7 linked regions of the Mus musculus genome follow. The protein of the gene in region 5 purifies or fractionates together with the protein of the main gene of each other region. This does not show direct contact. Links are inferred from orthologs where the notes say so. Each region holds a gene or a part of one and is shown on either strand. Other genes may lie near its edges.

Evidence for each region.
Region 1: the proteins of Nup133 (region 5) and Sec13 purify together in Homo sapiens (affinity purification with mass spectrometry; 4 studies listed by BioGRID and IntAct, counting the BioPlex papers as one, with this or other methods). This does not show direct contact. The link is inferred for Mus musculus from reciprocal best matches to the Homo sapiens genes NUP133 and SEC13.
Region 2: the proteins of Nup133 (region 5) and Nup85 purify together in Homo sapiens (affinity purification with mass spectrometry; 5 studies listed by BioGRID and IntAct, with this or other methods). This does not show direct contact. The link is inferred for Mus musculus from reciprocal best matches to the Homo sapiens genes NUP133 and NUP85.
Region 3: the proteins of Nup133 (region 5) and Ahctf1 purify together in Homo sapiens (affinity purification with western blotting; 3 studies listed by BioGRID, with this or other methods). This does not show direct contact. The link is inferred for Mus musculus from reciprocal best matches to the Homo sapiens genes NUP133 and AHCTF1.
Region 4: the proteins of Nup133 (region 5) and Nup98 purify together in Homo sapiens (affinity purification with mass spectrometry; 6 studies listed by BioGRID and IntAct, with this or other methods). This does not show direct contact. The link is inferred for Mus musculus from reciprocal best matches to the Homo sapiens genes NUP133 and NUP98.
Region 6: the proteins of Nup133 (region 5) and Nup37 purify together in Homo sapiens (affinity purification with mass spectrometry; 4 studies listed by BioGRID and IntAct, with this or other methods). This does not show direct contact. The link is inferred for Mus musculus from reciprocal best matches to the Homo sapiens genes NUP133 and NUP37.
Region 7: the proteins of Nup133 (region 5) and Seh1l purify together in Homo sapiens (affinity purification with mass spectrometry; 4 studies listed by BioGRID and IntAct, with this or other methods). This does not show direct contact. The link is inferred for Mus musculus from reciprocal best matches to the Homo sapiens genes NUP133 and SEH1L.

The regions. Positions count from the first base shown.
Region 1 is NC_000072.6:113,737,882-113,741,974, forward strand, and holds the start of Sec13 (protein SEC13 homolog), read right to left. Parts: upstream 2,801-4,093; 5' UTR 2,767-2,800; coding exon 2,764-2,766; intron 118-2,763; coding exon 73-117; intron 1-72. UniProt on the Homo sapiens protein: Functions as a component of the nuclear pore complex (NPC) and the COPII coat. At the endoplasmic reticulum, SEC13 is involved in the biogenesis of COPII-coated vesicles.
Region 2 is NC_000077.6:115,563,171-115,567,243, reverse strand, and holds the start of Nup85 (nuclear pore complex protein Nup85), read right to left. Parts: upstream 2,801-4,073; 5' UTR 2,715-2,800; coding exon 2,682-2,714; exon of another isoform or gene 2,642-2,681; intron 2,091-2,641; coding exon 1,997-2,090; intron 644-1,996; coding exon 481-643; intron 1-480. UniProt on the Homo sapiens protein: Essential component of the nuclear pore complex (NPC) that seems to be required for NPC assembly and maintenance. As part of the NPC Nup107-160 subcomplex plays a role in RNA export and in tethering NUP96/Nup98 and NUP153 to the nucleus.
Region 3 is NC_000067.6:179,752,016-179,755,515, forward strand, and holds part of Ahctf1 (protein ELYS), read right to left. Parts: coding exon 3,434-3,500; intron 2,058-3,433; coding exon 296-2,057; intron 1-295. UniProt on the Homo sapiens protein: Required for the assembly of a functional nuclear pore complex (NPC) on the surface of chromosomes as nuclei form at the end of mitosis. May initiate NPC assembly by binding to chromatin and recruiting the Nup107-160 subcomplex of the NPC.
Region 4 is NC_000073.6:102,123,167-102,126,666, forward strand, and holds part of Nup98 (nuclear pore complex protein Nup98-Nup96 isoform 1 precursor), read right to left. Parts: intron 3,427-3,500; coding exon 3,284-3,426; intron 2,159-3,283; coding exon 1,937-2,158; intron 1,229-1,936; coding exon 987-1,228; intron 527-986; coding exon 372-526; intron 1-371. UniProt on the Homo sapiens protein: Plays a role in the nuclear pore complex (NPC) assembly and/or maintenance. NUP98 and NUP96 are involved in the bidirectional transport across the NPC. May anchor NUP153 and TPR to the NPC.
Region 5 is NC_000074.6:123,946,466-123,950,589, forward strand, and holds the start of Nup133 (nuclear pore complex protein Nup133), read right to left. Parts: upstream 2,801-4,124; 5' UTR 2,712-2,800; coding exon 2,533-2,711; intron 147-2,532; coding exon 28-146; intron 1-27. UniProt on the Homo sapiens protein: Involved in poly(A)+ RNA transport. Involved in nephrogenesis.
Region 6 is NC_000076.6:88,145,534-88,149,791, reverse strand, and holds the start of Nup37 (nucleoporin Nup37), read right to left. Parts: upstream 2,801-4,258; 5' UTR 2,720-2,800; exon of another isoform or gene 2,623-2,719; intron 1,631-2,622; 5' UTR 1,569-1,630; coding exon 1,413-1,568; intron 1-1,412. UniProt on the Homo sapiens protein: Component of the Nup107-160 subcomplex of the nuclear pore complex (NPC). The Nup107-160 subcomplex is required for the assembly of a functional NPC.
Region 7 is NC_000084.6:67,784,876-67,788,375, reverse strand, and holds part of Seh1l (nucleoporin SEH1), read right to left. Parts: intron 3,490-3,500; coding exon 3,278-3,489; intron 1,221-3,277; coding exon 1,122-1,220; intron 1-1,121. UniProt on the Homo sapiens protein: Component of the Nup107-160 subcomplex of the nuclear pore complex (NPC). The Nup107-160 subcomplex is required for the assembly of a functional NPC.

The sequences.
Region 1 (4,093 bases), on a different chromosome or scaffold from region 5:
ACTAATATACAGTAAACGCCTACTGAGGCTGCCCATGTCCAGGCCCAGGAGAAGGGCTGCGTGGATACTTACAATCATGTCCTCATGAGAGGTGTCCACAGTGTTCATTACTGACACCTAGAACCAAAGACATTCTGTGAATTCATCGACAGCAGCCACCAGTCATCTCATTAAAGCACCAATTGCTTCTAAAGTTCTTACGGGCATTCACTCATTCATTCACTAGCACGCTCATTCTATAAACGCTTTCTTTTTATTTTTCGTGTGACTGGCTCTCATCATGTAGTTCAGTCTTGCGTTGAACTCAGTATCCTCCTGCTTCAGCCTCCCAAATGCCAGGATTACATATGTGCATTTTTACTTCCGGCTGAGGATCTTCTTGGCATTAAGCCCCGTGTAAAGGACTGCACAGTGTGGAGCCGCAGCTCTTGCCTCAGAGGAGCTCGCGTGTGAACAACCTACCAGTAGCCACATCAGCCATACTGCGGTTTGTGTGGGCAGAAAGAGCCCAGGATGAAGGGGATACACAGCTGCCTTAAGGGATGAAAACCTTGTTGCTCAGAGAGAAGATATGATCCAAGCACGAAAGGTTAGCATGGGCAAAGACAGTCAGTGGGACCAAGCTGGGACAGAGTTCACGCTCCCTTTCTGCATCGCAAGCGATTCTGATGGCCCAGACAGTTTATGTGAAACAAGTTATATAAGTCAAGACAAGGATTTGGCTTTAGTTACCTCTGAGGTTACTCTCTGGCCTACTATGAACCGTGAAAGGCCCATCTAGTTTTTCACCTTGTGGGACCCAGGTCTGATAGTCTGTAGAGGCCAAAAACAGTTGTGATGGACACCAGCGATTTCTCCATTTGATTTAAATCAGCCTCCCTTGATCCCCAACTAGCTAAACTCTTACATACACAACAGCCATGACAGCTATAGAGCTTGATGCTACTTCTCTGCTAGAGAAGGTAAGCTCCTTGAAACTATCTGTAGCTTTGATGCATTCGCTGTCTGTCTTAGTAAATAGGTCTAGCTGCCTAGAACTCACTGCATAGACCAGGCTGCCTCCAGCCCTGGGATTTATCTGCTTCTGCCTTGAGTGCTCGGACTAAAGGTAGGCACCATCACACACCTCAGCTTTGAATCTCTTTAAGTTATTTAGCACAATGTTTTTTACAGATAGAAAGAACTTAGTAACTACCTACTGAGTTAATAAAAGAGCAAAGACACACATCTTTTTTTTTTTCTTCTCTCATCCACTATTAAATTCTTGGGAGAGAAAAGTGGATTGAAAAGGTAGCTTCCATTTGAGACTGACATTTCTCACCATTTCCAACAAGTCACCTTTCCCAGTGCAAACTTTGCAATTACAAAGCCTGACTCCTCAAGGCAGGTGTGGTGTTGCAGATCCTTAACACTCTGGAGGATCAAGAGGGTGGATCAAGAATTCTCCAACAGCCTGGGCTATTTTTTCAGAAAGGTAGACCCTGGGAGAGTACGGCGGCAAGGCATTCAGAAGGCACACACTGAATAAGTAAGTGTGTTTCCTTGAGAATCTTAAATGCTCTGAAAAGTGTCGGCAAAGATTAGAGAAAGAGGAGCAGCACCTGCCTGGAGACAATGACATTTTCCCGTGAGCATTGGAGAGGCACCAGGAGCAATCAATTATAGTCAACAGAAAAACTAATCAATTTAAGGTGGCAGTGAAGAAAACACCCTTACCAAAACCACACTGCTGGCAACAATCTTATCTACTAATCCTCTAACCCCCTCCCCCAACACACACCAATATAAGGTGGGTGATGTGACCAAGAATTCCCCACAATCCCAACTGGCTCAAGGAAAAGTAATTTTCTATTGGTGACCCACAGGACTTTGGAAAGCTGGCATCCTTATGACCATTCTTAACCAGCAGCCATGGGTTATGATCCACACTTTGGGATGCTATGTATTTTAAAGCTCTTGGAGCAGTCCTCCGGAGCATCTTATAAGGACACTTATGCGCTTGCTGGAACACAGTAAGAAGCTGCACTCAAAACAGTTCAGCTCATCAGAATCACACCAGGTACAAACTTAGAATGAACCTGTGTATGAGTCTCCAACTTGGCAACAAAAGAGCCAAAGGCCAACAGAAGGAGGCAGCTCCTTGCACCGCTGCGCCAACCAGGGTCTAAGACTTCCAGAGTTTCATTCCCTTAGTATTATACGGAGTGGGGTGCGGTGAAAGACATACCACAGAGGCCATGTAAATTCAAAAATAAGAAACAGAAATAAAAAGCTGAGACGATGCCCTGGAGTCACTCAGCTAGGCCTGTCATCAGTTTCCCGAAGGGACCATCACACATGGGAGTCCTGTGTCCAAGCAACTGATCCCTCCACCTCCTTTGCTGAGGTAGTGGGTGGCAGGGCGAATGATGAGGAGAATTTGGATCTTAGCTTGCCACTGCCTAGCCCAAGTGTTGATGATAGTAGCATCTGCTCCGCAGGCTACGCGCAGGCAGAGGATGTGAGCGATCGTGGGAACGCACTAAGGGCTTGTCAGGCAGTAGATCCTATGATAGCTTTGGCTGTTTTTCCAATTCTGGAGGACAAGACACGAGACGGGCAGGAGGTGGGCTCGCAGCCCGGGCCTATGAGTTCCGGAAGGCCCAGTGGCCTTGCCTTAAATTCCCGCTCCGAGACCCAGAGAGAGGCAGGACAAGCAAACTTTGAGGACGTAGAGGTGGTCTGTCTCAAAGCCACGACTATCGCAGGGATCGCGACACTTACCATAGCTGCAGCAGCGGCGACCCACGGCCTCGGACGTGGCAGCTCAAAACGCTTCACTTCCGGTGCCGGCCCGCAGCCGGCAGGCTGTCACCCAGGATCTTCCGGTCAGCAACACACTCGACTCACACAAAGGTTCCGCGTCTTCTGGATCCTCGGCCCCGCCCTCCTGCAGTTCTGCCTTTATCTTGGCTACTGTTGGGCTCTGGTTGCTGTGGCGACCCTAATCCAGGGATTTTATGATTTGAAGCCGTCGCTAGCAGGTTTTTTATTTAGACTAAGTTTTTTCTGGTTCCTGAGATGCATACATAAAATGACTAGTCATTATAGCTTCACTCTCCTTTTCTGCGGGTTCCGGGTCCCACTGGCTTATCATGACCATCGTAGAGGTTAATTTCTCAAGTAGACTGGGCTAGTGCTTTGTTAGGTCTTGCTTAAGTTTCTTTCCATTTAATTTGATGTTGACTATTGGCTTGCTGTATATTGCCTTATTATGTTTAGGTATGGTCCTTGTATCCATAATCCCTTTAAGACTTTTAACATGAAGGGGTATTGGATATTGTTAAGGGCTTTTTCATCATCTAATGAGATGATCATGTGGGCTTTTTTCAGTTTGTTTATATGGTAAATTACGTTGATGGATAAAGCAATTCCACTAAATTCAGGGACAAGACAAGGCTGACCACTCTCTCACTATCTATTCAACATAGTACTTGAAGTTCTACCTAGAACAAAAAGACAATTAAATGAGATCAAGGGGATACAAATTGAAACGGAAGAAGTCAAAGCTTCATTGTTAGTTGATATGATAGTATACAAAAATGCACCAGCTTTCTTAAGGGATGGCAAGCAGAGAGTCTCAAGTCCCTGGGAGTCTGACTGTTTCAAGGGAGAACAACTGGAACCTCCCCAAACTCTTGTTTTTAGCTTTGGTGCTTACACAGCACTGAAAGGGGAACACAGAGCCCCAGGGCAGCTCCTCAGATGCACGTGGTCACATTTCCCCACCACACTTAGAAGCCAAGTGGCCCAGAGTAGAACCTCCACTCCCATTAGCTAAATCCTTTGCTGGGCAGTGGTGGCGCATGCCTTTAATCCCAGCACTTGGGAGGCAGAAGCAGGCAGATTTCTGAATTGAAGGCCAGCCTGGTCTACAGAGTGAGTTCCAGGACAGCCAGGGCTCTACAGAGAAACCCTGTCTTGAAAAAAAAAATCTTTCTGGTCGTATGTTGAAACTGGGATTGAATACCTTGGCTGAAGATAGCTACCAGCAAGATGCCAAGACTCAAGGAGTGTGAAGGCTTTTTGGAGAGGGGCCTGGAGAGTGGCAGCC
Region 2 (4,073 bases), on a different chromosome or scaffold from region 5:
CCTTGTCAAAAACACAAGCTTGAGAAGCAAGTCTTTCTTTTCCATTTGCCTTGTCTGCTGACGCCTGTATTTCTTTCATATTAAGACAGGGTCTCGCTTCTGCAGCTCTGGGCGGCCTGGAACTCACTCTGCTGACTACCAGCTCTTAAAGATCTGTCAGCCTCGTTTTTAACTCTTTCAAGAGTGAGATCTAATTCAAGGGCTTCTCTGTCTGAGTCTTCCTTTCACCATATTTATATTATTTTTATTTTGGTCGGTGGTGGTGTTCAAGGGACACATACAAATGAAGTAGGAATCCAAAAGGAAGAGTTGATACATATATATCAAGCCAGTAAGTCTTCCAACAGCATTTACACAATGCACAACTACACCCTAAGAAGATACACAGGAGAACAGGAACCCCGAGGTGCCCCGGCACTCACAAGGATAAGGACGCCTCCCTCTCACGACTTCACTGCAGCCTCAGCACCCACCACTTACTGAGCTTTCCTGGACTTCCCCGACAGTTCTTCCTCAATTTTTTGCAGGCCAACAAAGATTCCATGGGATTCATTGAAGAGTTTTCTCAAAATTTGAGAGTAAACATCCACATCTTTCCGTATGATGTAGATAAAAGGGCAGCTCGGCACCTTCTCTGATTTGCCTGTAACAAAACAGGAAAAAAAGTAACTCAACATCTACCATTTTCCCCAAAAGAGAAAAACATCCCAGTACTTCTAATTCTCTAATTACAAAGCCCGGCTGAGCCTGGGGCACATGTCCACTTTCTCCACCGGTGGGAATGAGACGGGAGGATTAAAACTCAAGGGAAGACTAGTGCACACAGTCGGCCAAGCAAACCAGGTTTACGCCAAAAGAAAAAAAGATTTGTCTTCATCTGGTCTGTGTAGGCTGAGATTACAATACAAGCAGGCAGCACAACACAGACTTCTTTTTTGGTGATATTGATGATCTAATTAAGGACACTGCCCATGCTAAAGAAGTTATCACTGAGCCACTGAGTGATAGCCTACATCCTTGGTTTTTGAGAATGGGTCTGGCAACATATCCCAGGCAGCTGGGGACTCTCTATTCCCCCCGCCAACTCTTCTGCACAGTAGAAAATCTAAGGTTGCAAGCGAGCGTTGCCTGAACCCAGGACTTTGCCTTCAGCTGAGGCAGTCTAACTCACTTCTTTGGGCTTGTTTTTGTTGGGTTTCTCAAGACAAGATTTCTCTGTGTAGCCCTGGTTGACCTAAAACTCATTCTGTAGATCAGGCAGGCTGTGAACTCACAGAACCACCTGCCTCTCTGTCTCCTGAGTGCTGGGATTAAAAGGTGCGTATCTCCACACCTGGGCTATATGGGTCGTTTCTAAAGGTTAATTATAGGAAGGGGGCTGAAGAGATGGTTTGGCGTCTAAGACAACTGGCTGAAATTTCCTGCCTTTAATCCTAACACTCAGGAAAAAAGAGCAAGTAATTTCTGAGTTCAAAGCCAGCTTGGTCTAAACCAAGTACCAGGACAGCCAGGCTACACGGAGAAACCATCTCAAAAAACCAAAACCAAACAAGAAGTACACAGGCAGCTCTTCCAGAAGACCTAAGTTCAACTCCCAACACCCCATATGGCAACTCACATAAATATAGAGTTCTAGTTCCTAGAATCCAATGATCTCATTTGGCCTCTGCGGCACCAAGCACGGAGTGGTGCACAGTTATGCACGTAGACAAAATGCCCATACACAGACTATAAAATTTAAAAATTACTTAATGTCAAGTGTTGAACCACACACCTCAAGTCCCAGCACTCTGGAAGTCGAGGGAAGAAGATGTAGAATTCAAACCTACACAAAGATTGCACAAAGACAAGCCCACTAGGACTACATAGGGGCAACTTGTCTCAAAATAGCAAAAAAACAAAGTTTCAAAAATAAAAATATTGCCAAATAACTCCAGTTTCCTGCCTCAGAGAGTCAACCAATGTGCCAAGACAGATGTGAAAAAGAACTGCCTACCTGTTTGGTTGAAGGAAGTTTCACACAGAAGCATCTCGCCGGGGCCCCAGTCAAAACACATTTGCTTCTTCTTGGAATTCACACCTGGAATCCACTAGTAAGACATAAGGAGGCACAGGAGCTGTTAGCCCTACAACTGTCCATTCAACTTCCAAGTGTAACTGCGAACACCATACACCAGGCGAACAGCCTAGGTCGTATCCAATGATGCTGTGCACATATTCAGACATATACACACTTAAAAAAACATTTTCTAGGTGCAAGAGGAATAGAATACAACGCGACAGAAACTAGTCTATTGTCTCCCGTGAGAACAAATTATGCATTTATTAAGCCTCGGACTAGGACAGCAGGACAGGGAAAGGCCAACTCATCCCTTGGAGTGACCATGTGGGGCTTACACCAATCTCATTCTAACGCCCAAGGGGGGAAAACTAGAGAAGCAGAAAGGTTATAAAAACAAGGGTGATGCAGTGGGGTTTCCGCGAGCCGGCCAGTATTCACAGGACCTAGGGACCACTATTGCCATAACCTAGTTCCCAGTTAACCTGACATTCGGGATGGTGGCAACTGTGTCCAGGGAAGAAGCGTGCGTCCCGCATGTAGGGAGGCAGCCTGAAATGACCAAAGAAACGTAACCCTCACAGTGCAACAAGCCAAGCCACTCCACTCCGATCGCCCTTACAGTTACTGCGGGCTCGCAGTCGAGCTCCTCCATAGCGCCGTGCCCCCCGCGGCTGGGACCCTGCCGCGCGGCCGCTTCTCTGCGCTCAGGCCTCCCGCTCACAGACAGCTGCCAAAGAGGACCCCCTCCAGGGCGGCTTGCGCAGCGCCTGCAGACCTTAGCGCAACAGATCCCTTCGTCTTAGCCAAACACAGCCCCTTGAAGCCTTTCACACATGTTCCACTATTCTAACCTATACAACACATCATGAAAACGGCTCTAGGGCCCACGGGTCCTCAAGGAATGTTCCCAGTAGATCAGGCGGCGCCACAGACAGTCCCACACTAGGTGAGGGAAAGGTCCCCGGAGATGGCGGGAGAGGCGGTGGCTGGGAGGGTGTGCGCATGCGCAGAAGCGTGCTGGCGCATCTATTTCGATTGGAGAGCTACTCCGTCTCTGTAATCCTACTTTATCTCTTAGCGGTAGTTGTGATCCCTCCCTCCTGGTCTGTTATTAGAATATTCTCAGTCCCTTTTCCGAACTCCGACCAGTATAATGCGCTTATTTTGGAATTAGTCTCGGACACATGACATCCGTAAACAACGGGACTTCAATCTTTTATGTACTGGCAACTTTTCTTTCTTTAGGATTATTCTGAACTATTTCTACCTTAAATTGGTGGTCATACATGACTTGGAAGTAGGGCATAGTAACATAAGCCGGAAGATGCAGCACTTGGGAAGTAGAGACTGAAAAATCGGGAGTTCAGAACCAGCCTTAGCTACATGGCAAGGTTGAGCTCGCATCGGGGCTAACTGAGACCCAGACTCAAAAACCAAACTCCCACAAACTTTAAGGAAATAAAGGAAAACCTTTCTGTCAAATTTTTATCCAAATCCTAATCATCAGTGATTTAGGGAGCTAGAGTGTTGGCTCAGTGGTTAAGAGCATACGCTGTTCTTCCCGGGGAACCTGGATCAATTCAAAGCACTCACATACATGTGGAACAGTCCCAGGCAATCTGATGCCCTCTTCTGGCCTCTGTGGAACCAGGCACACACATGTAGTACACAGACATACACAAAACACCAGTATATATACAATAAAATAAATTTTATAATTAACTTTTTAAAAAAGATTGCATGTATGTGAGTAAACTGTCACTGTCTTCAGACACACCAGAAGAGGTCATCAAATCCCATTACAGATGGTTGGGAGCCACCATGTGGTTGCTGGGAATTGAACTCAGGACCTCTGGAAGAGCAGTCAGTGCTCTTAACTGCTGAGCCATCTCACCAGCCCTTAGTCTGTCTGTCTTTATTTTTTTGTTTGTTTGTTGGTTGGGTTTTTTTTTTTCTGTTTTGTGTGTGTGTGTGTGTGTGTGTGTGTGTGTGTGTGTTTGTTTTTCGATAC
Region 3 (3,500 bases), on a different chromosome or scaffold from region 5:
TAAAGACAGAGAGGAAAGAGAACAAGATAGACCTGTGTCAAATGGACTGTGGGACACAAAGCCATAGAGCATCTGGGTAATCGTCAATTTGAACATCAACCTGGAAACAAACCTTTTTGTCAATTTTATCTGGTGGTTTGGGTTTTTTGGGAGTAGGTGTTCTGTCTTAATCACAATTTTTCTTTAAGGAAATTAACTAAATAATTAACTAAAACAACAACAACAACAACAACAAAACCCTCAAAATTTTAGGCTCTGTATTCTAAGAAAGATAAAAATGAATAAAACTAAATACCTTTTGATTTTTTCTTTGGAACCTTCACTGAAGGAGGAGGAAATAAAGGCTCAGTTTTGGGTTCAGAAATGTCCGTCAACAACATGGTCCTTCTAGACCTAGTCCTTGTGCCCTGGGCAGATGGCGTGAGAGCAGCGGCGGCAAGCAGTCCGTCCCTTCGGTCAGCGGACTCTGTGTGGGCTGCTCCACCCGCCAGGTCTGAGACTGCCGCTGATGGATCTTTTGAGCTTTCCTCTGCAGACTTCTTTGTAGGTCTCCTCTTAGATGTCACCACTAGAGCAGCTTCCTTATTTGGCACTAAAACTGATTTTTCTAAAGTACTCACATTTCTAGCTGGGGTGTTCCGTGTAGATCTCCGGACAACCGGAACATCTTTCTTCTGAGGACTTGTCTGTTCCTTACCAGTTGTGCCACCATCAGCTTCTAAGGGAACTACCTTCCTGGGTCTACCACGTTTCCTAGGGGTGGCAGGTACATCGAGTCCTGTCTGAAGAGGCAACTGGGATGAGTCAAGCTTTGGCTCTTCTGTCACACTTGACACACTAACTTCTCTCTCTCTGACCCTCTTTCGTTTTAGAGGCAGTTGCTGGTCACTGTGTTCATCTTGTTTATACTCCATATTCTGAGTATCTTCTAAATTGGCATTCCTCAGCTCTGTGACAGTCCCGTCATGACTTGCTGCCTCACTCCCTTTGAGATCATCTAGAATTTCTGTACTTTGCCCATTTTCTACAGACTTCTTAAGTCTTCTAGGGGTTCCCTTTCTAACAGATGAAAGCCTGACTTTTGTTCTAGAAGGAGTTTCTTCAGCTGCTGGCTCGGGTGGCTGCGTTCTCAGCCTCAGTCTTCCCGGCGTACCCTGAGGTTCCGGCTCCGGCTCCACAGCACCAGAACTTGGCAGTGTGCCTTGGCTAACGTCCTTCTTCTTTCCTCTCCTAGGAGCGGGAGGACTCTGAGCTGTCAGTTGGTTCTCAGGTGCTACTTTTAGGTCAGAACAGGTCCTTTCAGAAGACTCAGGAGTTTCTTTAATTTTTCTAGTTCTCTTCTTAGGAGTGGCAACTGCTGAAGGCTCTTGTTCTGATGTGACATTCAGGCTTAGGGCATGCTGCCTTCTTGTGAGAGTTCTAGAAGAAACCATGTCATCATTCTGGCTGGTATTTACAGTCTCTGCATGTGGTTCCTTAACAGTCTTCGGTGTAGAGTTTGTCAGCCTGGACGAATGTGCAGCCTTTGAGACTATCACTGCTCCGTCCTCATCACCAGCCTCACCTGCTGCCACGGGAGTTGCTTCCTTACTTCTGGTGTCTTTAATTACATCCAACAGATTTTCTGCAATTGCCACTTTAACCGGTTCAGGCACATACGGTAAAGTCTCTACCTTGTGGGATTCTTGGTCAGCAGTCACAGCAGATGGCAAATCTGTAACGCGCTCCTGATTATGGGGTTCCCTGTGGCACACAGGTTTTTCCTTGGTCGCTTTCGGTAACATATTAGGTGCTGCAGAGTCGCTTGCCTCAGCTTCTCCTTCTTCACCTTCTAAAATCAGGGTAAAGTTGCTCTGGGCCACAAAAAGTTCCCCGTCTACTTCAGCAGCATCACATTCAGCAGAGTCTTTGTCATCAGGCAAGTCACAAAACTGCTGCTCAATAGTACTGAGATTATACTCAAGTTTCTCTGCCCCTAAGGGATACAACTCATCAAATGAAAGATTCTTGGCCTCCTCTTCTGAATTTTGAACTTCAAGATTTTCACATCCAATTAGCTAAAATGAGTTAAAGGTAAAGAAACTAGTTAATGAATTATAAAGTTCATTTTGATCTAAAGCACACAGAATTTTAACGACATCTTACTCTTTGTGTGTCCATTTTAAAATACAAACTACACTTGACTTATGTCATGAAACATCCATTTAAGAAATGAAACCTCAATCAAAATAACTACACATATTATGGATGGAATTAAACTAGAAATCCCACATTTTCTTAGCTAAAAAGACAGCATTAACAAAATCTTGAAAATCATTATGCTAACAATTCTAAGAAAATTAAAGACTTATTCTTTTACCAAGAAAAAAACTTAGAGAAAAGGAAATAACCCCAAACAATAATCCCCAAATTACCTAACTATCCACACTTTCTAAACAGCATGATCCCCGTAAGGTTGAAGAACAATTCACCTACATAAGCTCCCTTGGGCTAGACTCAATCTTCTTCCCTTTGCTGGGGCTGCATAAACCATGAAATTCCTAAGGCTTTCAAGTTCAGTACCTCTCTTGCAAGGGTTTGGTGGAAGAAGGAATGGTCCTTGCATTTACCTTTTGGTAAGGGAAGGGGAGAAAAAGGAGGAGGTAGAGAGTAACAGAGAGATCTCCTGACCAAGAAGGTAGACATTATCACCCACCTAGACAAAGACATTTTCCCACTCCCCAAATAGTGAACTGGCAGACTGGACCCAACCTAGAAGTGAGGAGTCCCATTACCTACTCCCATGGATTTGTTGCCTCCAAACTTTAGAAATAGGAAATTTAGTGCCATTTATTTCAGGGGGAGAATCTTAAAAAGATGAATGTGGATGAATTTATGAATTAATAAACTCCCCAAATTCCATACAATTTGATTTTTATGAGTTAGAAGAGTTATTAAGAGTTATTCCTAACTCCATTTACTCAAATTTCCCTTACTCGTGAAAGGGATTTGATAAGACTGTAGAAAAGCAGAAAGTCCTATGAAGTACTAAAAGAATTCTTTTTCTAGTGTCTCTCTCCCACAGATATGCAGGGAGATCCTGTTTACTATATTCACTTATTACAAATGATGTCTAAATGTCTCAAGCAGTTAATACGTCTCAAGTAGTTAAAAAACAAAACAAAAATCCCTTCCATTTTAAAGCAAATGAGCAACAACAAAACTGCTAATATTAATTAATATTATGTTAATTGTGCCTTAATATAATCTTTTGATTTTACATAAAAACTAATCTCTTAAAGTTTGTGTTATTTTATATGCCACAAAACATTTATACTTATTTTTTGAGATCTTAAAAATGTTGTTGTCAAATGAGCAGATTAAGTTTAAATGAGCAACTTTAAAGCCCAACTATACTAAAATTTAGAAAGCATTAAAAAAGTAATATTTTTACATGAATCTCGTGAGTATCAGAAGGAGCAGCAGAAATTCGAGGGCTTTCTTCTGGTAAACCAACGTTC
Region 4 (3,500 bases), on a different chromosome or scaffold from region 5:
CCGCCACTCCCAATAAGCATACTAAAAAGGGCCAACCTGGGCTATATACAGTGAGTTCTGGCTGGCTTAGGTTATAGGGTAAGGCACAAATAAAAAACTCCAAAGTTCCATGCTCAATGCATTTAACACAGCTCAAGCTGGCCTCAAATTCCTGATCCTTCTGCCTCGTTTCCCCAGTGCTAGGATTATATGTGTGCCACCATGATTTCTTTCTTTAGTTTTGAACATAGTCAGGCTGTCCTGGAACTCACAGATATATATGCTTGCCTCTGCCTCTCAAGCACTGCGGTTAAAGTATGGTCCTTTGAAGTCGCTGCTCTAAGTGCCAATGAAAAGAAAAGCTAGACAGTGGCTTAGGGAGTTGTAGGTACCTGCTGAATACGGTGGAGCATTTCAATCACTCGAATATAATCCAGGTAAACGAGCCCAGATGTTTCCCAGTCCTGGATGAGGCTGCTGCGCTCTGGAGGTGCCAGATCTTCTAAGAATCCTTTCAGGTAGTCATAGTTCTCATTAATAATGGCATCTGAAGAAATAAAACATTGACTTCAGTGTACAAAGGTGTGATTCACAACAGTGTAGAAGAACAGACAAAAATCTAAGGCGGGCAGGAAGGACAAAGAATGTTGTTTCTCAAAATTTCAAGGCAGATGTTGTCAAAGTCGAAAAGGCACAGGTGAGGAACTCCTGGCTTCTGGCTGCTGAGCAACTATTTCTGGTGTTCTTGGTTAACATTTCTACAAGTGAGCAGAGCTTAGTGAACAATAAGAACATTTGTGTTAACTACAACAGTGCTATCTTTCCCCACCTCACAGACCCTTGCTTAGAACAAGTCTCTTCGCAGTCTTCATCTCTTCATAGAAAATCAGACTAAGCCTGCTGTGTCCTGAACTGAATGCTATCTCTGCTTGAACTACCACGAAGGTTCACAGGTTCACAGGTGTAACTCGGCCGCATAGCAGCATTACCTGGTGGTTTGCACTCACCAGAAGCTAGGTGACGAATGACTAGTTTGTGGCAGCGGTTCCAGTGACCAGCTTTAAATAAATAGAGGGCCTCCAAGTGCTTATTGGATTCCATGTGTGCTCGAACTGCTTTGGCCTCATGAATCCACTCAGCAGGCACACAAAGCTTCTGTGTGAGGAACGCCTCCTTAGCCCAAGACTCAGGGGTCTCTGACAGTTGGCAGTGCCTTGTCAGCAGCTCTCGAACAGCCTTCTCACGCATGCTGTGGGGAAGACAGAGACTAGCATAAGCATCATTCCTGGTCTGGAGAAGGCTATGGTGGACAGTAAGATGGTCCCCTGGGCAGTTACTCAAAGGGGCAATCTTATCTTTAGAGGACCACTTCAAACAAAACAAACCACAAAGTCTAATCTCAAATATTATTGTTTCTAATTATGTGTAAATGTGTGTGTTGGTACGTATGTGCACATGACTATAGGTCCCTTTGGAGGTCACAGGTGTTGGATCTTCAGAGTTGGAGTCACCACAGGCAGTTGTGGGTAACCCAACACAGGTGCTGAGAACTGAACTCAGATCCCATGGAAAAGAAGCCAAGTGCTCTTAACTGATGAGCCATCTCTCCAGGCCCTTTGAGATTTATCACATGGCTGTATCTAACAGATGTTCTAAGCCAGTGGTTCTCAACCCTCCTAACGCTGCAACACATGTTGTTATGACCCCCTAAGCATAAAATTATTTTTGTTGCTGCTTCATAATTTTTCTACTGTTATGAACCATAATGTAAGTCTCTGTGTTTTCAGATAGTCTTAGGTGACCCTGTGAAAGGGTCCTTTGACTCCCAAAGGGATTAAGATCCACAAATTGAGAAGCACTGTAAGCAATCACTTACTGAACTGGACCTGAACAGCAATCCTTAGGTACTGCCCTGAGGTGCTGGATATTCCCAGCGGGTTCAATGACTTTCACTCACCCCGAGTTGTCAATGTGTAGGAAGACAAAGATGGCCCACTCCCAGAGTCCTTCACTTTCCAGTTGGCCAGCATAACTGGCCTGTAGCACACCTTCACACTGTTCTGAGAGATGGGTATAGTTAAGAGCACGTAGCACTTCCCAAAGGTGCCAGCTCAGGCGGTAGTCCAAAGGATCTGCAGTTATGCTTCGAGGTTCTAATAGCTGATTGAGCTCATAATGTCTGAGGAGAACAAAGTACTCAGTCAGGATACTCGGCAGGCAGGTCACCTGTACTGAACAGGTTATTTGAGACAGGGTTTCTCTGTAATAACAAAGCCCTGGCTATCCTGGAATTTGATCTATAGACGAGAGTGGCCGTAAACTCACAGATCCACTTCCACCTGCCTCCTGAAGGCTGGGATTAAAAATATGAGCTACAAGACGGGCGGTGGAGGCGCACGCCTTTAATCCCAGCACTTGGGAGGCAGAGACAGGCAAATTTCTGAGTTCGAGGCCAGCCTGGTCTACAAAGTGAGTTCCAGGACAGCCAGGGCTACACAGAGAAACCCTGTCTCGAAAAAACAAAAAAATAAAAAGAGCTACTAAGCAGCCCATTCTCTTTCTTAGTAAGAGCTTATTTCATGGACAATATTATAATCCTAACTCATGGGAGAGTGAATTCTAGGCCGGTCTATTTAGACACAAAATCTCAAACCACCAAAGTAAAGAAAAATATATAATATATACAACATACAGAGAGTACCTCTACATATACCAAATTCTGAAGAGGACATCTAGCAATTAGAAATTTTATACATCACCAGTGAAAATGTAAAATAATAAGCATTCTTGTTACATTGCCCAGGGGACTGAAACTTTTGGGCTTTTGTGAACCATTCTCACCTCAGTCTCCCAAGACCTGGCTTAAGGCAGTGAGTTTTGTAAATATCCACAGCAATTTTATCCCTAACAGCCAAACCAACAATATCTACCCACCTGCAAAGCAGGATGTAAATTATGCAAAAATCTGCAGTGTCAAAACAAGTATCTACCCCAGACCAACTTTGGCTGTTCACATTAACACGGATAAATCTTACCATCATGCTGAGTGAAAAGACGACAGGCACAAAAGAATACAAATGATCTTAACTATGTAAATTCCTGTAACAACAATATTAATTTAGAGTAACAATCCTGCCCTAAAAGTTTAAGACTGAGGATTAATCCCTGAATCGCTTTAGGAAGTTTCTGTTGTGACAGAATCGTGTGCACTGTGTTGACAGTTTGCTGCGATTTTCCTATCCCACTGCATCCTTATTTATCTCAAGGATTGATTGAAGTGATTACCACCCTGGGCCTTGTTTACCTGTCACTGTAGAGTTTTAGAAGATGAAAGCAAACATCTTGAAGTGGTCTCCGGGAGTCTTTTTCTTCCTCTACCATACAGCCGCAGCCCTCCAGGTAAGAAGGAAGAGGGGAGCAGGCATATTTATCACCCTCAGGAGTATTCTGAAAAGGAAGAATTTACAAAAGCATTATAACAGCTCTTTTCAATTAGTAGTATCATGGCTCAATCATTAAGA
Region 5 (4,124 bases):
GGGAACAAATGAAAAGATGACACCTACCCTCAGCCATTGTCAGGGCTTCCATGATCTTAACAGGGAGAGATGATCCAAACACTCTCACATCGTAGTTCACAGACTCTGATATGGAATGGTGGGGGAATATCCGAGTAGGCGTTCCTCTAAAGAAAGAGACCACATAGGATTAACTATAACTTGAAATTTCCCATTATGCTCACCTTTACAAACCTACTTGAGCTATCTCTAATGATGTGTAATGGTGAAAGACACCAGCTGGTGTGCACTATGTAACTGACTGCACTTTTCAATAGAATTTATTGAAATTGCTATGATATAAGACCATGAGCAAAAGCAACTTGAGGAGGAAAGAGTTTATTTGATCTTATATTTCCAGGTCACTGCCCATCACCAAGGGAGTCATGGCGGGAAACTGGAGGCGGGAACTGAAGCAGGGGCCATGGATAAATGGTCTTTACTGGCTTGCTCAGTTTACTTTCTTATACACTCCAGGGCCACTTGCCAATGGGTGGCACTGCCCAGTGAGTCAGGCCCTTTTACATCAATCACCAATCATGAAAATCACCCCTGAAGGCAAGCCTATGGGGGCATTTTCTTTTCTTTAAAGATTTATTTATTTTATATATATGAGTAAGCTGTTGCTGATACAACGTGGATGATGGGAATTGAACTCAGGACCTCTGAAAGAGCAGTCAGTGCTCTTAACCACTGTGTCATCTCAGGAGTGGGGGTGGGGGTTTCTTAATTGGGCTCCCCCCTACTCAGATGATTCTAGTTTGTGTTCACAAAAAACTAACCACCATGCCTGAGTCATCTGAGTTCAGAAATTAGAAGTGAGTACACCTCTGCCTCTGAGGTCAGTACTGTGAAGGGTTCTTCTTAAACAATAAAGTGAAAGCCAGGCACAGAGAGGAGGCAGATCTCTGTGATATCTGCCTGAGGTTAGCCTGGTCTACACAGTAAGTTCCAGAACCCTGTCTCAAAAAACAAGCAAACAAAAACAAGGGTCCCACGTGTGCTCTCAGCATCACAGTTACTCTCTGAATTATCACAAGACTTGTAGGTTCATACATTTTAATCATAAGTCTCTGTTAGACTCAGTATTTCCTGTTTTCATGCAGAAAAAAATTCACTTAAGATACACACACACACACACACACACACACAAACATACACACAAACATACACACACACACACACACACACACACACACACACATCACTGTGTGTCTCTGGTTGCTTTGGAACTATATAGCCAAGACTAGCTCTGATCCAGGGTCCTCCTACCTTAGCTTTCCATGTGCTAGGATTTTAAGTTGTGTACTACCATGTCCAGCAATACCTTTTAAAATAATTTTAAGGCAATAGTTGTCAGGTACTTTTGAGATTAATTTACTGGTTTTTTTGTTTGTTTTGAGCAAAAATGATGTATCAGAACATATATGCATCTTACTATCTTTTTAACCCATCATATATACATATATGTGTGTGTGTGTATATATGTGTATATATATATATATGATTGTATGATAGATAGATAGATATCGAAAAGCAAGTGCTCTTATCCCCAGAGCCATCTTTCCATCCCAGAAATTCACTTTTGAAAGATGAACAGAAGAAATTCTTCTAGAAAAAGGTAACCCAATTCTGAATTTTCGTGTTAATTACATTGAGGAGGGTAACAATTCTACTATACATGTGGACTTGGCAGCACACCAGCATCTTTAGTGAAGCACGCTCTCTCTCTCTCTCTCTCACACACACACACACACACACACACACACACAAAGTGCTTTTATGTAACCTAGTCACAACCATCACATTTTGTGGCCCAAGTCCTTTAACTGCCAATCAGTATGTAGTAATAAGCATTTGCTAGGCACTGAGAAAACATTTTTGCCAGGTTTGTAGGCTCTTACCATGACTCAGATAGGTGTACTGAATCCTGAGATGCTGAGATCCTGACTTAAAGCTGGAAGTGTTAAACAAAATGATGGTAGCCAGACAAGCTACTGCATGCTTGAAATAGAAGAATCTTAAAAGTGGATTGAGCAAAGTCAGCCTAGGGTACGTAGCATGGGCTGTCCCAAAGTGGACAGGACTGAGTTCCAGGCTGCATTCCTACACTATATCACAAAAAGACTACACCAGACCAAATGTTACTCGTGTCAAACGCCACAGAGTCAAACCACAACTTTAAACAAACAGCAGCCCGACACTGACCTGTGTCAACATAATAAAGAAATGACTTTTTAATCTTTACAATAATCTGAAGTATGTTCCTACCTTGCAAGCGTAGTGCTCAAAAGGTTCTTTCATTCTTTTCTGTAGCGCGGAGACAGAGTGAATCCATGGGTCCAATAAAGAGTTAAACAGAGAACGGGCAAAACGAGGGCCACCATTAAGCAGCGACAATAAAACGCGAGAATGACCAGAAGTACTTTCGAACTCTGCGGCAGCTTACCCCACTGCCAGGCTCCACCTCCCCGCTGTGGAGCGGACCCCGCTGGTCCCCGAACCCCCACTTACCGTGAGCTCACCGAGCTGCGCCGGCCTGCGGGCGAGAACAGCACGGGCGAGTTAACCGCAGATCCCAGAGACAGACCCCTCCTGCTCGCTCTAGGCGTGGACGTGGGCCCGATCCCGACTAGCGGACCGCGTCGGGTCCCCGGCCCTGGGGTTCGCGGAGAGGAGACGCTCGGAAACATGTTTGCAGAGAGCGTGGAGGAAGCGGCACTCGCGGGCTAATAGCGAGAACCTCGCGCGCCCGGAGCTTGAACACCTGAGGGGCGGGAAGGCGCCTAGAGATGACGTAAGGGGGCGCTCAGCGAGTAGGGAGGGGAAGGCGCATGGCAATGACGTCAAAGATCGGCGCCGAGACTCGGGGCAAGGTCGGAACTGGGAGCGCTTTGTTGACGTCACATCCAGTACCGGGGAGGGGCGGGGCAGGCGATTTGGAGTCCTGCGACCCGATTCACCGCGGTGGATCCAGTGCTCCGGACCGAGAGCTTGCCAGAAGCGCCGGTCTCCGGCTGGAGCTGACCCTCCGCGGCGAGCGTGGGCTGGGGAAGGAGGCGCCCGTGGGCGGAGCTGAGGAAGTCGCGCTCTGGGCGGCGGTGGTGTGCTCACAGTTTTTCCCAACCTAATTCAGATCGGTTCAGGCTTGTTCTTCGTTCGATTGTCTGGGCTCTGCAGCGGGTTGCAGCTTTTTGCTTTCCAGGCACAGCTTGCATTTTGATGGGTCTGTCCTACTGCCGGAGATTCGGAAATGACAGTGCCCCCAGTCCCCGGGCATGTTCACTCTCATCGCTGCCCCTGAAGTTCCAGACCCTAGTAGAAGCCGATAGCAGGCGTGCACACAGTTCTGTTAGTCCTCTGCGGCTGTTTCGGAAGACCGTAGTGTGTGTATGGGGGTGTCTTTTCCATTCTGCTCCCCACATTACTAAACAGTGAACTGAGATTAGCCCGAGGCTGTACTAGAGTTTGTAAATATTCAGGGCTGATAACTGCCCAGGGACCCTTGCTGAACTTGTGAGGTCCCTTGTTACTTCGGGTGGCCTTTCCTTTTCGGTTTTTTCATTGTGTCCCACTTAGACAACATTGTAGCCAGACTTTTGACCACTTTATGGGTTCCTATTTCTACCACTTGTCTCCCTCTCAACCCCCCAACACTAGGTAGGAGAAAGAAGGCTAGAGGAAAAGGGGGCTTCGATATCCGTAGACTACTTCCTGCTGATAGAGGCATCGAGTTCCTTGGGGCAGTTTTGATCTTTTAAGAGCTCAGAAAGCCAGAAGGAGGGCATTGGACTCTGAAGTTAGTTACAGGGGGGTTGTGCGCCACCTAGCATGGGTGCTGGGAATTGAACTCGGAAAAAAAAAGAAAAGCATTTAGAAGTAGCTACTTGAGCCAGGTGTGGCTGCACACACCTATAATCTCTGTAGGACCAGAAGTTGTTCAAAGCCACCCTGGGCTACATGAGACACTGTCTCAAATGCCAACAAACAAACCCAATTACCTGAGAGACCATTATGGACACAAGGTTGTTAGGCATATCAGAAGTAAATACAGTGGGAGGGGGTAGGGGGAGAGAGAACATGGAAGGGAGGAGTCATCTCTGCCC
Region 6 (4,258 bases), on a different chromosome or scaffold from region 5:
TGGAACACGAGGAACGGCACAGTTGTACTGAACTCCACCAGAATGTGATCTGTCTTCTCTATGTGCTCATAAAAGGAAAAAGCCTCTTGTTTTTCCTTACACAGTTTGGAAATAAGACCCGAGGATCAGCAAGGACAAGCGTTTGAATGATACAAACATTCTTCTCATTTCCCTGCCTCTCCTTGTTGTCTGCCTTCTTCATCTTTCCTTTTTCTGATTTTTCTCCCCTATTGATTTCCCCTGGTGTTTCCTAACTGAACTTGAACTGCAGGTAGATATATCTGTCAGTATTTGACAATGAGATTCTATGTCCACATCTGTTAACACAGCAATGAGGGAAGCTCAAGCCTACCTCTGGTCGCTTGCGTTTTCAACACGTAAGTGGTCCACATTGGAGAAAGTTTTTAATAAGTCTTTCTTAAGCCAAGGCCACATTATTTGCCTGACGCATGACTTATGATTCTGACAGTCTAGCAGAACTTAGGCCAAGGGTCATAGAAATATAGTCCTGTAAATATTATTTTGGTACACCATAATAGCAGAAACGAAACTCTGGGAAGATGGGGTGGTGTTGAGCCTTCAGTGCCGAATGCTTCCTATGTGGACCCTAGGTTTTCCGTGAGGAACCATGTAATAAGTCTCTTGGAAGCGATTTCTCTTGGATGATTAAATATGAGGGTATAACTGCCACTGCTGCTCATACTAACCACAAAATACACATATATGGATTACCATGTGCCGAATGTATTCTGGGAACTTTATGTGCACTCACACACTACCCCTCACAAACCAAATTAGGTTTCCCGAATCTCCACTCTTAAAGGGATTCAATCATATTCCTTACCTTCAGAGAAGAGCGGTTCAGTATCTAACCAAGTTTAGCCATTCGAAACTAAGTGTCTAGGTTCTCAGGTTACACAGACCTCAGAGAGAGCTATGATGAACGCCAGCTGTAAATGTAATCCTATATGGTTATATGAATATCTGCTGCAGATACACAAGGTGTGAAAGTAAGCTAATAGGAAAGCTGAACATTATCTATGAAAGCTAGGAATTTCTTGGAAGATAATTGTTTAGCCTTTCAGTATCACCTTGTTTCCTATGACAGAATGATGTGGGGAAATCTGAAGTGTATCTAATACATAGAAATACATGTGTGCTCAGTTATGTTGGACTTTATCAGAATACACCTCTACGAATCATTGGTGAAAGAAGACCTTCATTGTTTTTACATCTATCATCTATATAATGTATACACATGTCTCAACAATTAGTAACGGGAATTCCCTGTAGATCTTCAAAAAATTTTTTTTTCTTGTATTAAAAGCAACATACTTTTAAGTTCAGCTTTGGTTTGTACACATTACTGATAAAGTATCTCTACTGTCACTCCGTATAGTTTGTGGACTAACCTGAAACGTACACATGCCAACAACCACATAATTACTGCCGCCATATGCAATCAGGTTTCCTGAATCTCCACTCTCAAAGGGATTAAATTCTACCACGTGCACATAATCTTCGCAATCCACGGTGTACGCAGCATTTCTTGTAGCATCTTGCTTCATCTTGTATCCCAAAGCTGGAGCAGTTGTAAGAATCAAATAGTTGTTTATTGCCTGTCAGGAAACTGTGGATCACAAACAAAATTTACAAAGTGTTTGTCATTCAACAGAAGAATCATAATGGGGCTTGGTATAGCAATGTCAGAGCCAGCTCAAAAGAGAAGTCTGCTTATATTAACACACACATGAATAAATTTAATACAAATAGAGTCCTAAGATTATTAAGCAATAGAGATGCAGCACTATTTGTAGTTGGAAAGTTGTACTGACACTGTCATATGCAAGAGTACCATAAACGCCGGTACTACCAATAGTCCCTTCTTTGCCTATGAAGAAATTTGCCAAGTTCGTCAACAGGTTGAGGATTTAAAAGATTTAGCATGTGTTGGGCCTACATGCTAGAGAAAACACAAATACACACACCTGCCTATCTCAGGACTATGCTACATTATTTGTTCGAATTATATGACCTTTAACATTCTAATTTGACAGACCACCTGAACTATCAAGGGTCCGATGAACTGGAAAGTCCCACCCCTGCCTAAAGACACATGGAGTCCAAGAGCCTTGAAGGATAATATCAGGTAGCAATAGTTATAACCAACCATTACCCATGCAATAAAATAAGGAGATTAAAAAATACAGGCTCTGGAGTAATGTGTGATACTAACGTTATTAACACCTGTCACAATCCTCAACTAATTTGTCTCGAGACAGGTAGTGTGTACTGTAGAAATAGCATTCTCACGTGCAAATTAATTTTTACTTTGTTGTTAATGAAAAGGAGGCACCCTAGGCTAAGAAAGAACACGTAAAATCCTGAGTTATCTGCTGAGTTTTTTCAGATTAAGTCCCATCTCAGAGAGACTGGACACATGTTACGCGGGACCGGCAGGTGAGAAGACCATAGAGCAGAGAGGTATAAGGCATGCAGGGGACTTGAGGTCCGGATTTGATGGCAACCCCTGACCTCCAGGTCTTTAAAGCCCTGGGTCAATATTCCCAGGGTCCCTGGAGTTGTGTCCCCCACGCGTCGCCCGAGAAAACCCACTCCCACCTCGCGAGGTCACAAGGAAGAGCTCTGGAGAACAGGGAAGCGCCCCTGGGGAAGCAGCACAAGCTGGCGATCCCCGGTCACCGCACTCGATACGCACCTAAAGCAGGGGAGGCGACCTGGGCAAGGCTCTCCCGACCATAGGTGGCCAGGGCGTGCGCCCGCTCTGCTTCCGGGTCGGAGGGCGAGCGCGGCGATTGGTTCCCAGGTCGTGCCGCGAGATTTGAAAGGGACGCCGAGGCGATTCAAACCTCTGCCTTCCGGCGTCCTGGCTGCGCTGCTCCTCCCTCCGCTTGCACCCAGCCTGGGTCACTGGACGAGGTGGGTCTGGTCTCTTCTGTGCCCCCGGGTCGCAGTTCCAGTGGGCATTCGGGCTGCTGCTCTGCGAACGCATCTCGGTGACAGCGACGTGCCAGCCAGTGGCGTTGTCTGCGCAGTGGCTTCGCCCCGACTTCACGGTGTCCCGTGGAAAAAAAGACGCTAGGGCTTCGGCAAGACCGAAACCCATCAAAATCTTCTTTTAGTCCGTTAGATCGGGGATCTGGCACACGACGAGTGCAGGCTTCTCAGATTTTCTGTCGTTGCATCCTTCAGAGGGCCATTCCGGACCAGGCAAGAAGAATAACTGTCACCTGTCATCTTTTAATGGAGATTTGCTAAGTGCTGGCAATAAGGAGGTTGGCTATTTCCTTCACTGGTGCCTTATAATTCTGTTAAGTAGTCCCAATTATGGACGTGGAGAAATTTGTGGTAATCACGAGGTACAGCTAATGCAGGGGTGTGGTGGCAGGGATAGTTAGCTAAGTGTGGTGCTCTCTCACTTTACCTTCCAGCGACAACTACCTGTCTCAGATTTTCTGCTCCAGTGCACTTTGAATCCAGTTTAAAAGCAAGAGTTTATTCCCTCTGACACCTTCTGTTTTGTTCATATCCAGCGTCTCATCGAGTCTTCACAACAGGCTGGGAGGTAGAACAGAGGGGGCGGCATAGTCCTGATTGCTTTGTGACCATTCTTATACCTGGGCAGCCAGATCTAAAGTTAGGTAACCCTGGAAAAGCTGGAACTACAGTGGATATTGGCATGCCAGCCCAGATGCCTGTTGGTGAATAGCCAGATCTAGAACTAAACATGGTTTTACATGTTTAAATGGTTGATGGAAAAAAAAAATATTTCAGGCAAACTAATCATATCACCCATAGCTCATGCTTTTGTGTCTTCTTCAATTTTGTTTTTTAAGAGATAAATAGGAGATAACCTAGGTGCTCATCAGAGAATTGTGAGTGAGGCCTGGGGAGGTGGCTCACTGGATAAAGCGCCTGGACAGCTATGAGGACTGGAATCCAAATCCCCAGGGCTAACGGAGACACTGGTGTAGTAGTCTGCTTGCAACCCCAGTGTGCTAGAGGTGTAGACAAGTGATGCCGGGGCAAGTCAACAAGGTGGAGAGCAGTGGAGAAGACACTCAGTGTCAACCTTGGGCCTCCATACACATGTGCTTACATAAAGGCGAACATATACACACAGCAGACTTGTAAAAAGAGACACAGAGAAGACTGGAAGTAGAGAGGGGACTGATTCCATAGCATGGCTGCCTAGAATACAGACACATCTAGGCTTATTTTGAAAGGGTTCTGTATG
Region 7 (3,500 bases), on a different chromosome or scaffold from region 5:
GGCAGAGAGGCAGGAAAACCTTCTATGAGCTCCAGGCCCACCAGAACTATGTACATTTCAAAATAAATGAATAACTAATTTTTTCTTTTAAATGTCAGAAACGTGAAAAAGTTCATCAACATATCTCAATGTTTCTCAGAAAATGCTTGCCTTTTGGGGGCACTCAATAGTGGCCCCCAAATGACTTAACTCATAGGCCCAAACTGGAATAACCTTATTCCAAAAAAAAAAAAAGTTTTTTATTTATCTATTCCTTATTCATTATCACTAGAGTAGGACTGACTCTAAAATTCAATGCCCTTAGATAAGACAAAACAGGATAAACAGGGCAGTGGTAGCCCACGCCTTTAATCCCAGCATTAGGGTAGCAGAGGTAAGTGGATCTCCAAGTTTGAGGCTAGCGTAGTCTCCCGAGTAAGTTCCAGGACAGTCAGGGCTACACAAAGTAAATGTTTCTAAGAAAAAACAGAGTGAAAAAATACAAAGCAGGGGAGATGCCTAGAATGGCTGCCACAGCCCAGGATTCTGGGCTCAATCGCTGGAAGAGCCAGCAAAGAGCACAGCCAAGAAAGAGCACAGCCAGGCCAACAACTGGATTTCAGAGCTCTGGCCTCCATGGACAGATCACTAATAGGTAAAGAAAAAAATTCTGTCGGATTGGCCCAAGAACCAAAATAAGGCCCAGTCTGCTCCTTTACAATTTAAGTGTATCTTAAAATACTTAATCAAAACTTATCTAAAATAAAGTCTCGGTTTGGACTGGAAAAAAGGTTCATCCGTTAAGAGCACTGACTGCTCCTCCAGAGGTCCTGAGTTCAATTCCCAACAACTACATGGTGGCTCACAACCACCCATAATGAGATCTGATGCCCTCTTCTGGTGTGTCTAAAGACAGCTACAGTGTACTCATATATACATAAAATAAGTAAATAATCTTTAAAAAAAAGATTTTATTTATGTAGAAACCCTGTCTTGGAAAAAAAACCACCAAGTATAAATAGCACAGAACTTGGAATCTCTCAGGAAACAGTGAATCAGGTAACAGTGAATCCCGTACAACGCAGACAATAAAGGACAGCCGTTTAAGACGTAAACACAATTTGGAACAAAGCAGTACTGACCTGGTATTTTCATTGTATTCAAAAATCTGAACCTTGGCCATTGAATTTGGACTGCTATCATCACTTCCCACAGCGATCATGGGGGGATGAGCACGAGAGCTAGGAAGGAAGGCAAACACTTATGTAATACAATAAGCTGCTGGCTTAACAGGATTCAGACCTGGACTCCAGGAGACAGACAACCTACAAGTGCCTGGCCTCCCCATCACATCTGGATGTTCACCACAGCCCTGCCGCACTACATGTTTGTGTGAGCACCTCACACACTGTCCCTCACGACTGCTTCTCAAGAAGCGCTTCTTCTAAACAAGGGCATTCCAACAGTTAACACTGGGAAAAAACTAAACTAGAGCTTTGTTACTAAAGCATCACATAATTAGATCCACTAATCTAAACAGAAAACTTGATAAGCTACAAAGAACTATGGTGAGAGAGTATATCTATAATAAATATTCACATAACCTGGCTGCTAAGGTTCAGAGTCAACTAGAGCTCACAGACAAAATATCTATACCCATGTTAATATTTATAGAACCCAAACATTATAAATATTCATCATGTATTTATAACAATGTAACAGAATTGAATAGAAAGAAGTCTCAGCATGAAACAGGGGCAAAATAAGCTCATTCATTCTCTACATCTCTCGCCTCTTCCAGGTTATCAAGACAGAATTTCTCTGTGTAGCCCTGGCTGTCCTGGAACTCACACTGTAGACCAGGCTGGCCTCAAACTCAGAAATCCACCTGCCTCTGCCTCTCTGCCTCTGCCCCTCTACTTCTGCCTCTGCCACCGGAGTGCTGGGATTAGATGCTTGCACCACCATCACTTGGCTAATTTTCTCCTTTGTAAGAGAGGAATCATTGAGACTATATAGATGGCAACCAGGTTAAGAGCACTGGCTGCTCTTCCAGAAGACCTGGGTTTGACTCCCAGCACCACATACATGGTGGCTCTCGGTGGTCTACTACTCCAGTTCCAGAGAGTCTAAAGCCCTCTCTGGCTTCCACAGACACTGCGTGATGGCAGTGTAAAGACATAAACAGGAGAAATACCGATATACATAAAATAAAAATTCTTTACGTTTTTAAAAATTTAAAAGAGGAATCATATAATCTAAGAACTAATCACTAAGTACAGATAAATTTAAAACTTCAGTTACCAGCATAACAACTAAAGATTACCACAAATAACATATATACCAGTCATATTCCGCTATCAGTGCATATAAACAGTTAAAATCTAAGAGAGCAAGAATAATCATCTAGTATGTAACAGTGGCTACCAGAATTAAAAGCTAGACTATAAGCTACTGACAGCATTTCCTTTCAGAAAAGAGAACTTTCGGGTTTGATTTCTACTCTTCTAGTTATTTGCATATTTTCTTACCAAGTAATTAAAATAAATAATAAATAAAAAGCAATCATGGACTGGGCGGTGGTGGAGCATGCCTTTAACCCCAGCACTCGGGAGGCAGAGGCAGAGGCAGGCGGATTTCTAAGTTTCGAGGCCAGCCTGGTCTACAGAGTTAGTTCCAGGACAGCCAGGGCTACACAGAGAAACCCTGTCTTGAACAACCAAAAAAAAAAAAAAAAAATTGATAAACAGGAATAACGAAGGGACAGACATGATGACCAACACTCAAGAGGGTGAAGCAGGAAAGTTCAACACCAGAGCTGGCTGGTTACACAGCAAGTTCTATACCAGCATAGTCAATAAGATAAGGATCTTTCCAATCAGTACATTAATTAATTGATTAAGGGATTCACTAATTGGATGCTTTAAAATAAATTATATACTAAAATGTGAAGAAATGATCACAAAGTATTTTTCTGTGAGAAAAAGATCCTTGAGGAAAATGGCTGAGTTCTATGCATGACTGAGTATAGTCTGTCTTCTTGGGTTGGTATGTATCTGGTTATTTGCACAGAGCTGTCTCCGAAAAATATCCTAACTTATTTTTATATACATAGAAAATTTGTCAGAAGTTCTCACCAAACGGTTGATAATGAATGGGTTCCTCCATTTTATGGAGCTAGGAAAGTGGAAACTGTCTTCTGGATAATATTATCTAATTACAAAAAGCATCTGAGAAATTCAAGCAGTAAATTCTTAGCTTGCAACCTGCCCTGGCCACTTTAGAAGGCCGCGCTTACCTGGAAGGGTTCCAGGAAATGCAGCTGCAGCACAGCTTACACGAGACCTCGTGCTGCAGAGACCACTGGCTGAGGTTCATCACATCGGGAGCCTCGTAGACCCTTACTATACCATCTGCTGAACAGGTGGCCAACATCAGACCCATATGTTTGGGAGCAAATTTCACATCAGTAACAGAGGTTCTGCTGTCCACTAGAGTTGTCCTCTTCACCTGGAAAGAAA